Ovis aries: one gene and its partners. The protein of the gene in region 2 interacts with the protein of the main gene of each other region in a pairwise test. Links are inferred from orthologs where the notes say so. Each region holds a gene or a part of one and is shown on either strand. Other genes may lie near its edges.

What was found.
Region 1: the proteins of SIRPA (region 2) and CCDC57 interact in a two-hybrid assay, tested with the Homo sapiens proteins (2 studies listed by BioGRID). The two-hybrid records come from large-scale screens. The link is inferred for Ovis aries from reciprocal best matches to the Homo sapiens genes SIRPA and CCDC57.
Region 3: the proteins of SIRPA (region 2) and NOL3 interact in a two-hybrid assay, tested with the Homo sapiens proteins (2 studies listed by BioGRID and IntAct). The two-hybrid records come from large-scale screens. The link is inferred for Ovis aries from reciprocal best matches to the Homo sapiens genes SIRPA and NOL3.

What each region holds. Positions count from the first base shown.
Region 1 is NC_056064.1:50,203,054-50,206,699, forward strand, and holds part of CCDC57 (coiled-coil domain-containing protein 57), read left to right. Parts: coding exon 1-21; intron 22-424; coding exon 425-559; intron 560-3,646. UniProt on the Homo sapiens protein: Pleiotropic regulator of centriole duplication, mitosis, and ciliogenesis. Critical interface between centrosome and microtubule-mediated cellular processes. Centriole duplication protein required for recruitment of CEP63, CEP152, and PLK4 to the centrosome.
Region 2 is NC_056066.1:52,930,739-52,934,384, forward strand, and holds part of SIRPA (tyrosine-protein phosphatase non-receptor type substrate 1), read right to left. Parts: intron 3,455-3,646; coding exon 3,098-3,454; intron 1-3,097. UniProt on the Homo sapiens protein: Immunoglobulin-like cell surface receptor for CD47. Acts as docking protein and induces translocation of PTPN6, PTPN11 and other binding partners from the cytosol to the plasma membrane.
Region 3 is NC_056067.1:34,376,740-34,380,465, forward strand, and holds the start of NOL3 (nucleolar protein 3), read left to right. Parts: upstream 1-824; 5' UTR 825-1,009; exon of another isoform or gene 1,010-1,457; 5' UTR 1,458-1,520; exon of another isoform or gene 1,521-2,663; intron 2,664-3,424; 5' UTR 3,425-3,432; coding exon 3,433-3,726. Other genes in the region: HSF4 (heat shock factor protein 4), read left to right, coding at 1-96.

The DNA of each region.
Region 1 (3,646 bases), on a different chromosome or scaffold from region 2:
CTGACCGCGGCCAGAGATCAGGTCTGCACTCCCCTGGGCTGTCTGACTTCTTTCTGCAGAAGGAAGGGCCGGGTATGTCCACTGCAGCATGGAGCTGGCTTGGGCCCTCACCAAGTTATCCTTTGCACTTGAAGGCACTTGGCCTCACTGAGCAGTTTGGTTTATATCAGCAGGACTTGCAATGATGAGTCCCTGCCCACAGCCTGTCTCTAATGGCCAGGCAGCTGCCTCTGGAGCTGGATGCATAGGTGGCCCCAGCATTTGCTGGGCTCCTCTGGCTCTGACGGCCACATATTTCCTAGGGTTTCTCACCCTCGTGTCTGCCCTCTGCTTCCCAGCAGGGTAGGGAGCTGGTCTGGACCTTGAAAGTGGCACCGCTCCCTTCTGATCCTCCCAAGATGAACTGAGTCTGCATTTTCCCCAGGTTGTTGCCAAGCTCCAGGAGACGGAGCGGCGGCTGTGTGACCGAGAGGTGGTGCTGAAGGCCGTGACCCGAGAGAGAGACCAGGCCCTGCAGGCTCTGCGGACACATGGGCTACTCCCTGAGGAGGAGGCGCAGGTGAGGGGCCGCCCTCCTCCTGAGTCTCCCTTGCAGCTCTTCCTCCCAGGCTCCTTGGAGATACCCGCTACCCCCACCAGAGGGGAAGCACGCCAACCAGAATCAGCACTGGAGGTAGATCTTTGCAGCCATGTTTCTTTTAAGATGACTGTTCACACCAGGTGAGACCAAAGCTCAACCAGCTAATGGGAATCTGCACTCAATCTTCTTTGTGTCTTTAGTATCTGAAATATCAAAAAACCTCAAATTCAGATATTGTACCATGGCAGACGGTAACACAGAGAACCAAAAGGTCAGAGCTTTATCCCAAAACACGCTTCTACACATGTGGTGACTGAACCATTCGATATGTAACGATGGCCGTTCCTCTCAAAAAGCACAGACTCCCGTGCTGCTGTGTGCCAGCCAGAGCCTGACACTGGCTATGGGACGACCCCAAGGTGAATGGTGGCCCCGAAAGGCGTATTCTAGTCCTGGTGCCTCAGGGTGCAACCTTCCTTGGAAATAGGGTCTTTATGGATGTGATTAGTTAAGATGGATGATTAATTAAGATCACATGAGAGCATCCCAGCAGGCATACTAGGCTTGATGCCCTAGGGGTCAAGCTCCCGAAGGTGTGTCTGTTAACAAACCTCTGGGAAGATTCACACTCAGCCAGTGGTCAGGCTTGGGAGCACTGGTGTTCCCAGGAGGAAAGGGGGGGCCAACCCTAGTCTCCAGGGTCACCTATGGTCCTGGGGACTCATCGCTGGTGGTTTTTGCATGGGTACCTTCTCTAGGTAGAAAACAAATGCTTCTTTTTTGTTGTTTTTATTAATAAGCCTCCCTACCCAAATTTTTCTTTTTTGTATTTTACCGCCAGGCTGACAATTAAAAGAAGACATTTGTCTCCAAGCACCAGCTCCGCTGGTCAGGGAGGCCTGTCAGTACCTAGTTGCCTTGTTAAGTGAACAGGAACCTTAGAAATGGCTGAGGGGTCAGAAACAAGTGCCGCATGCAGAGTCGGGGGGATGTGCACCTCTGTTCTGTACAGGGGGCCCTGGAGGCAACATGAGGGGGCGTGGCAGAGCAGCACCTCGGGCACCAGTGAAGGTGAGCTGGCCTGGTGGTCTTAACACAGAGATGTGGCCTCCTTACCAAGCAGGGACCTGGGGTGGTGGAGGATGCTGTGCAAGTTTCTGTTGACCCAGAGGAGTGAAGTCTGGAATCCTCTAGATAATAGCAAAACACCTGCGTCCCCCCTTCAGGGCCTTAATACTGTGACCAGGTTAAGGGTGTGGCCGGGTAAGGCGGCGGATGTCGGCTGGCAGGCGGCGGTTGGTGCTGAGTTCTGTAGAGGTGGGCCCTTGGCAGACACTAAGTAGGAGCAGCAGGGGCGTCTGTCGTGCACTGAAGCCGAGACAGAGGCTGCTCAGGGAGGAAGACATGGCGCTTCCTGGGAAGCGCTGAGCCCACCACTGATTGCACTGCACAGACAGGCAGCCTCTTGGCTGTGGCCACAGCTTCCTCTTTGCTTGGCACTAGTTTCGATGATGGCGCATCGGCAGGGCCGGAGTGATCACCCCACAGAGACCAAGGCACCACCGCCAGGCAGGCTGCTAGGGTAAATGCAGCCACAGCCACAGGGACAGAAGATTCACCTTGGGAATGGGCTGCACTGCAACTTTGAGGTGGATCCTGTTGTTCAGGACAAGGAAGCTGAGGCCCTAAGAGGGGTAGTCCCTTCCCCACAGGTGGCAGAGGGGGAATGTGAGCAGTGCTGGCCAGTTGGCACAGCCCTGACCACTCTACTGTCTGCCTGAGCAGGTGCAGCCTAAGGCTTTGCCTCAGAGAAGGTGGCGAACAGCCCAGTGGGCACAAAGAGGGAGGTTGGATGTTTGCAGGAGGAGTAGTAAGGCAATAGCAACCCACTCCGGTACTCTTGCCTGGCAAATCCCATGGACGGAAGAGCCTGGAAGGCTGCAGTCCTTGGGGTCGCTAGGAGTCAGACACGACTGAGTGACTTCACTTTCACTTTTCAGTTTGATGCATTGGAGAAGGAAATGGCAACCCACTCCAGTGTTCTTGCCTGGAGAATCCCAGGGACGGGGGAGCCTGGTGGGCTGCCATCTATGGGGTCACACAGAGTCGGACACGACTGAAGCTACTTAGCAGCAGTGGGGCCAGAGCAGTGGCTGGAAGGAGGCAGGCAGGTGCATAGCGGAGCCAGAGGTGGCTTGAAAAGCTGGGGACTAGCGGTAACAGAAGAAATAGCTTCACTTTGGAAACAAAAGTAATATATACCACTGCAGAAATTTTACATTAGTTCACCCTAGTGCTCTCTGGAATAAAGCTGACCCAATGTTCACCCCAGCTCAACTCCATGGCCGGACCTCTCGGCGTGGTATCTTAGTGGGAAGTCTTCTAGGTTTCATTGGTTCTTATGAGAAGTTGGCAGTTTCTTTTATTTGTCCTTCCGCAGGAATGTAATGTGCCCTTTTTCCTCTGGTGGTTTTTAAGAGATTTCCTTCATCCCTGTTTTTAAACAGTTTGACCATGATGTGCTCTTTGGTGTGACTTTCTTTGTGTTTATCTTACTTTGGGTTTGTTGAACTTCTTGGATCTGTGGACTCAGGTTTTCATCAAATTTGAAATTTTTTTGCCAACGCGTTCTGCATCCTTCTGCACCCCCTCATTGATCTGGGTTCGTGTATGTCTGCTTCCCATTGTTCTGCAGTCGTTAGGCTCTGCTGTTACTTGTTCTTTTGTCTTCCACTCTGTTCTTGAGCTTGAAGGCTTTCTACTGCTCTGTGTTTATGTTCACTTAGCCTTTCCTCCTGTAGTATCTTATCTGCTCTTAATCCCATCCTATCCAGTGAATTTTTCCTTCAGACAATGTATTTTTCATCTCTGTAGATGCTATTTTGTTCTTTTTGATATCTTCCATTTCTGTTTTTTCATATTTTTCTTTAAATCCTGGCATATATTTATGCAAACTGCTTTTAAAGTCCTCGACTATCACTCAGCATGATGTTTTCATGTTCCATCCATGTTGTAGTGTGTGTCAGAACGTCATTCCTTTTTATGGCTATATAATGTTTCATGCTG
Region 2 (3,646 bases):
AGCTCTTGACGTGTGCCCTCATTCAGTCCCTGCAGCTACTCTGTAAGGCTGGGGCTGTCACCAGGGGACAAGGACACTGAGCCCCAAGGTGGGGAGGGACGACTCAGAGGTCGCAGAGCCAGAACGGGGCAGAACTGGGGTGGGGGCCCAGGCAGGGGGCTCAACCACTGTGCACTGAGCTCAGGAACACCCTATCCCTAACCCTAACCCACCCTATCCAGGGCTTCCTAGACCCTCTCCAGTCATCACAGACCCTTGAAATGGTGTGATTCCCACCATTTCACAGATGCATAAACTGAGGAGCAGGGGGAACTGAGATGTGCCCAAGACCACAGAGCCTGAGAGGCCAGCACCATCCCTCCCCAAGGGGCTGTCCTGTCAGCAGGCCACCGTACTCCTGGAACACCCTGCAAAGGCTGTGAGATGATCTTCTTTCTATAGGTGAGGAAACGGGAGCCCAGCACAGGGAACTGGGTCTCAGCCTGGAAATAACACGTTTAGTTAGGAGTCCCTATTCTGTGCTGGTGATTTGGACAGAGCTCCTCAAATCCTTCCAGCTCTCCTGAAAGACATGATGACCACCATCGTGCAGATGAGGAAACTGAGGTGGAGAGAAATGAAGGGTCTGTCTCCTCTCACCCCTGACTGTGTCCTGGAATATCCTGTCAAGTCTAAACTTTCAGGTCCATCAGCAAAGCAAGTGCCCACCTTCAGGAGCCCCCACACTGACCACCACCCTGCCTTTTCCCTCAGATTCTTGAATTCAAGTGACTACAGGGAGGAGGAGCCTCTCAGGGCCCAGCCCTGGGGACCCTGGAACAACAAGGGAAGACATGGGTTCCTGACACCTGAGTCTAGAACAGGAACTCTTGCTCACATGGGCCCTCATTACCCTCTAGGGAACACCTCCCCCTCCTCATCCTCAGTCCACCGAACCAGGAATGGGCGTGTCCGGTGCTGCTGGGGTCTCAGTGGCCCCTCTGGACTCTGTCCACACCACCCTTCCCAGACCTGCTCCACAGGGGCCTGGTGAAGGGTCAACATCACATCAATGGGCAAAAATGACTCCTGATGCTTTTAAGCGTGTTTTTTACGAAAATCACGATATATTGTAGTATCTGTCTGAATTGGTTATAAAGGTAGTCCTGCCTCTCACACAGGACTCTTTTTTTTTTTTATACTTCATACTGAAGAATAGAACAATACAGGATTTTAAGAGGACAAAGCTGGAATTTTCTCCCCACTTTGACAAGCATGGTGAGGTATGCAGAGAACAGGGCTGTGAGTCAGACTGCTTTGGGTTCAATGTTGGCTCTCCTACTTGCTCACCAGCCATGTCCCCTCCTTGAGCCTCGGTGTCCTCATCTATAAAAGGACAACAGACGAACCCCTCCCTCAGACACTGGTTATAAGGAGTAAAAGCCATGAGGAAGATTCCGCATCTGACAGGCTGCTCCCCACCCCTCCCTCTGTTCTCACCCAGGGAATCATCTGGGCAGGCGGCCTGGGGAAGAGGCAGAGCAGCCTCCTGGGAGGCGGCAGATCTGAGTGGTGGTGGTGGGCCACTTACTGGCTGCGATTTGCGGGCAAGGAGCCCATCATCTGGGAAATAAAGTAGTATCTGCAAAATCAGGAAAAAGCCACCTTCCTTTTCTATGTCCAGGGGTTGTAGGGAGATTCAATCTCCCTACATCTAAGAGAGAAATCTGGGGCAATTTCTACCCAAATTTAAATCCACATACTGCCTGAACTAGCAATGCCACTTACAGTGGGCATCTCCCACCAGAGTAGAGTGATGTATAGGTAAGGTTATCCACTGTAGTTCTGTTTCAATGGCCTAAGTTTGGGAACAACTTGTTTATTTGTTAACAAAGACTGGTAGATGCTGTCTCCATATGCCAAGTGCTTTGCAACTGTTGAAATACTGGGCAGCTCCAGGTGATGATGTGGAATGAGGGATTTACGGTTAAAACAAAAGTAGGAAGAGGTTCCCAATCACCTTGGGAATCAGGGCCTACATGTAAGGGGCATTATGAACCTTTGGGAAACCTATGAAAAGGGTCCCTGTTCAATGGTTCAAATTAAGGGGCTTTTATTTTGCTCCCTCCTTGTACCAGGCTCTTCTATGAAACCAGTTTCAATGTTGCTGCAGGAAGGGGACTGGCCTGGAATCAGACTGGGTTCTGGAAGGATCCCCTCACTGACCATGTGACTGTGGTCTGGGTCCCTGTCACCTCTTGGCCTCAGGCCCCTATGTGTACATGGAGGGTTGGAGGATGGTGTCTAAAGGTCCTTCCTGTGCTGACAGTCCAGGATTCAGGAGTTAGAAAGAGGATCCTGGACCTCTGGCAGAAAACCCTAAATGAGCACCTTTGCTACCTCAATGGGGCTGCCCCTAAGTCAGCCACATGGGGACATTTTTCTGAGATGACCCAGCTCTGCTCGGAGCTTTCAGTGAAGGGTTTTCTCAACAGATCCCCAGGAAACACCCAGCCTCTGGGCATCTCCTTCAAGCAGGGCCATCAGAGTAAACACTGGATGTCTGCCCTAAAAATTTCCCCTCAGTGTGTAGTTTCTGAAGAAGGTATAAACACATCTCCCCTCCCTGCCCTGGAAGGCTTTCTCCTCTTTGGGAGGAAGCGGACGTAAGCTTCACATAAGAGGAGCCCTTGCCTGCTTTGCTCACTGCTGCCTCCACAGCATCCAGGGCAGGGCCTGGCACACAGGAGGTGCTCAGTAGGTGCTGAGCAAATGGAACACTCAGCCACATTGAAGGGAGTACTCTCTGGAGGCAGGTGGTAGGATCTGACCTGCGACAGGGAAAGTCACTCAGACTTTCAGTTCCCTCATCCCTGGAACCAAAGAGTTGGATGGGATGAGCTGGATGAGGAGTAATTAGCATGACCCCCACAGACCTCAACTTCCCTGACCTGTAGAAGGGCGTGAAATCAGAGCATGTCCAGACCATGAGAAAGCACACAGTGCTGCATCTGACTGCCTTTTTTTTTTTTTTTTTTTTTCGCTCACAGAGTGAAGGGCATTCCTGTTGACATGTTATCACAGACCAGCAGACAAAGGAGACCCAAGCCATACTCACCGCTCACAGTGAGATGAGTGCCTGGTCCAGACTTAAACTCCACGTCGCCCTGTTCTCCTTTCCGGAACTTCACACAATAGTAGACACCAGTGTCTGCTGGGGTGATGTTACTGATGCGGATGGAAAAGTCCATGTTGTATCTCTTTGTGGCATCTGCAACACTTGTTACTCGGGGGGAGACACCTCCTTTTTGACTGTAGATTAACTCCCGACCTGGCCCAGTTCCCCTGAACCACTTGATGGGCCCCACGGGGCTCAGGGAGGTCACGGTGCATTGCAGAGTGGCCGTCTCTCCTGCTGCAACTGACACTGACCTCTCAGGCTGAATCACCTGCAGCTCCCCCTCACCTGCCGCTCCTGGAGGAAAACACAAAGCAGTTAGGTATTCATCCTCATGTGATCCTGTAGGTTTTCTCAAGTGTTTATCAATGACAGCTTACAGTGACTGTACATACCATGAGCTGGCCTTGAACTCAGTCCACTGCACGTATATCACATGTGACCCTCACAACGAACCTGTAACTTGAGACCCTATTACAAAGGAGGAAA
Region 3 (3,726 bases), on a different chromosome or scaffold from region 2:
GGCCCAGCGCTCAGCCTGCCTGGAGCTTTACCCATTTACAGCAGTCCTGAGAGCCGGGCCTCCTACGTGGGCGCGGGAGGCAACCCCTCCCCCTGAGACACCCTCCGCTCCGAGCCAGCCCTGCTGAGGGGCTGGCCGGCAGTAGCACGCCCCGCTCGGCTTCCTTGAGCCCCCTGGTGGACTCTGAGTGAAGCCCCAGTTACTTGGCAGCCCCTCTCCATTCCCGAGTCCTGCATAAAACCGCATTTTTTCCCCTGTGTTTCTGGTCTCTTTCCTCTACCGACCAGGGAGCACAGAAGTCATGGGTGGGGGGTGCCTTTGCCTTCATAGAAACGTCCAAATCTCAGGGCTTTAATGTTAATCGAGGAACCCTTGAAGAGCGGAGGTGCCTCCGAGGCCGAGCTCTGCTGCTTAGGCCCCATCCTCCGGGTGCGAATCCAGGGATGGTGCATGGCCACTGAGACCTCCGGGAATCGGGGGCTTTTAGGGGTCACACCCAGCACCGCAGTGCACCCGCTCTGTGATCTTCAGTAAGCTGGTCTCCTTCTCTGAGCCTTCTCTGTGCAGGCAAAGAGAATGGGTATAAAACTCCTGGGAATTGCTGGGGTACTTGGGTCCGCGGGCTTAACGGTCCCCACCCCGACTCCTCCGGCGCGCCCGGGGTGATGAGGGAAAGCGGACTTCGTAAACGCGGCCAGGCGGTACTCGACCTCTGCGGTCGGCCTCCCCGCGTCCCGAGAAGAACGGCCCCCTTTCCCCACCCCCTCCGGGTTCCCGGCAGCCCTGGCCGCCCCGCCCCCGCTGCAGCTGCTGCTCCCATCCCCACCCCGCCTGGCCCTTTCTGCCTCGTCATCTCCTGCCCTGCCGAGGCTCGACCCGTGAGTGGGGCCGCCAGGAGCGCAGGGACCGGGAGCCCCACCGAACCCCTCCCCCTCCGGCTGGGGGAGGGAAGAGAAACTGAGTTTGGGCGAAATCCGTGCCCGATCACCACCAGCAGCCGTGCGCGAAGGTCTGTGAGCCCCGCCCCTCTCCTCCCCTCTCCCCTCCCCTCCCTTCCGCAGGACTCATCTCTGGGGCTGGGTGGAGGGATGGATGTTGAGTTCGCAGTTGCGCGGTCTTCCGCGCTGGCCCACCACCTTCGCTCCTTAGCGAAAGAACGCGCGCAGGGAGCGAGGTGGGGAGGGCGGCAGAGACCCCCGACCACGCGTGCTAACTGGAGCCGCCAGGTCCTCTGGGAAGAATCTGGGCTGTGACCATTGAAGGACATAACTTCGATATTCTGAGCATTAAATCTCAGAGGATCCAGACTAGCTGGGGTCTCTGCTGTCCAGACAGGACAAAAGGCAGGACTTGAGGTAACTAGAGGAGGAAGCTAACATGAAAATAATTTGGGGAGGAGGGAGAAAAAAGGAGGGGCCGAACTAATATGTCCCCTCCCTCTCTGCACCTGTACACAGTGGGTTCTGCCTTCCCTCCCTTCCTGCACTCTTGACTGTGGGGACAGATTTTGGAAACCTCAAGTAAGACGGCAGAGGATCCATGGTACACAGTCCGGTGATGTCAGCCTAGTGAGGGTGTATGATGTTCACTGGGATACAGAGGAGAAGGAAAGAATCTGCCTCTGGGACACTTGGGCATTGGGGTAAACGAGGGGACATTTGAGTCTTGAAGATGGGTCCACCACTTGGAGGGAGAAAAGGGATTCCAGGCCCAGGGAACAGTGTCTACAAAGTTTGGGAAGTGCCGGTACTGAATGGTTGAGGAAAGTGGGGGAAAGCCTCCTATCTAGGGGCTTTAAGTGAACAGATAGTCTGGATTCTCTCTGGTGGTCCCACGAGGGTTGAGGGACAGGTAGTCATGGTTGGCATTCTGCTTGGCCAGACCCCTCGTAATTCAGGCTGGAGCTAGCCACTTGGTCTGTCTGAGCCTGTGTCCTCCTCTGTAAAATGGGCACAATAATCCTACCCTAGAGAGTTGTCCAAGTCACTGTTCTGTAGGGTGATGGGACAGGAGTGAGAGGTGCTGGGAGAGACTGTTACAGGAGATGAGGGGTGGAGGGAGATGCCGATTCTCACTGAGATGTCAGTGGAGGAGCAGCATTTGTCACAGATGGGACATGAAGGGAAAGGGAAGGGCGAAGGGTCTCTGCTCATAGCCTGAGGGAAGGGCTGACACCTCAGTAGGGCTAGGAGGGGTGCAATGACCAGGGAGGCATAGCATGACAGCAGGCAGTGAGAGAGATGGGGGTTAAGACTGAGTCCTCTCTCCCAGACGTAGAGCCAGGTAAGGAGGTGAAGGAGGCACCCCAAAGAGAGGATGAAACCCTTGGACAAAGCCAAAGCCAAGGGAGATGGACTGAGAACGGGAGTGGCCCAGGGCCTGACCTAATTGCCCCTTAATGCCAGGGACCTTGCTGCCTGGGTCAGGTGACCCAAGAGGAGATGAGCCATCGTCCTTGGCTGTTGATAAGTGAACAAAGCAGATTAATTTCTGCCCAAGGCCTGCTGTTGGGGTGGTGACAGCCTCTCAAAATGGGAGGATCCACTGAGGAAAACAGTGAAAGTTTGACAATTGCTGGTAGCTTTTATGAGTTGGGTCCTGGATACTTCAAGATGATGGCTGTGAATCATTCTCAGGGCAGCAGGGAGACAGTTTGGTCTCAGGTATGTCAGAAGATCTTGGTCAGAGCTAATACTCAGGAGGACTCAGGTATCTCTACTCAGGTATTAGGGAACCAGGAGAGTCTAGGAAACCACACTGGGGTTCCAACACGTGGTGGTATCGGTGAGGGGGTGCAGAGGCAGGGGCCTGTCCTGGAAGGATGGACCTCAGAGTCAGGATAAGTGTCTGGACTTCCTCTGGCAGGTGAGAGGAGCGGGAAGACTCTCAGCACTTTGGGATCTGGGAGGGGAGAGATGGAGCTTTGCAGGGTCTAGGCTGGAAGTGAAAGACTAGACTCTGGTGAAGTTGACAGAAGTATTCGGCAGATAGACTGGAAAGGAACTTGATTGCAAGCTGGGTGTGGGTTATCAGGACCAGCTGTAAGTTGGGGAAGCAGGTTGGGAAAGAAGTTAGGTTGGATAAACTAGGTCCGAATCTCTCGCGGTATCTACAGGTGGCAGGGGCTCAGGAGGAAGGACCTGCTTGGGGAGAGCAGTCAGAGTAGATGAGGGTCCTGGGATAGCTAGGGGAGGAGAGGAGTGCCACAGTTAACATTTAGGGGCCAAAGGTGAAGCCAGAGGGAGAAATAAGACAGAAAAGGTCAGGGAGGCAGGAGCGGTGCTGCGCTGCGGGCCTGACAAACCGCAGAGATCCAGGTGAACTTAGACCCCAGCCACGGATGTTCACTGGGGCCCCGGGAGAGAGGTCAAAAGCAGGGGAGCTCCGGCCCCCACTACCTCTCGGCCCCCCACCTCCCATGCAGCCCCTACCATGGGCAACACCCAGGAGAGGCCATCAGAGACGATCGACCGCGAGCGGAAACGCCTGGTAGAGACGCTGCAGGCGGACTCGGGGCTGCTGCTGGATGCGCTGCTGGCACGGGGCGTGCTCACCGGGCCCGAGTACGAGGCTCTAGACGCGCTGCCTGACGCCGAACGCAGGGTGCGCCGCCTGTTGCTGTTGGTGCAGAGCAAGGGCGAGGCTGCCTGCCAGGAGCTGCTGAGCTGCGCCCAGCGAACTGTGCGGGCGCCCGATCCCGCCTGGGACTGGCAGCACGTGGGGACC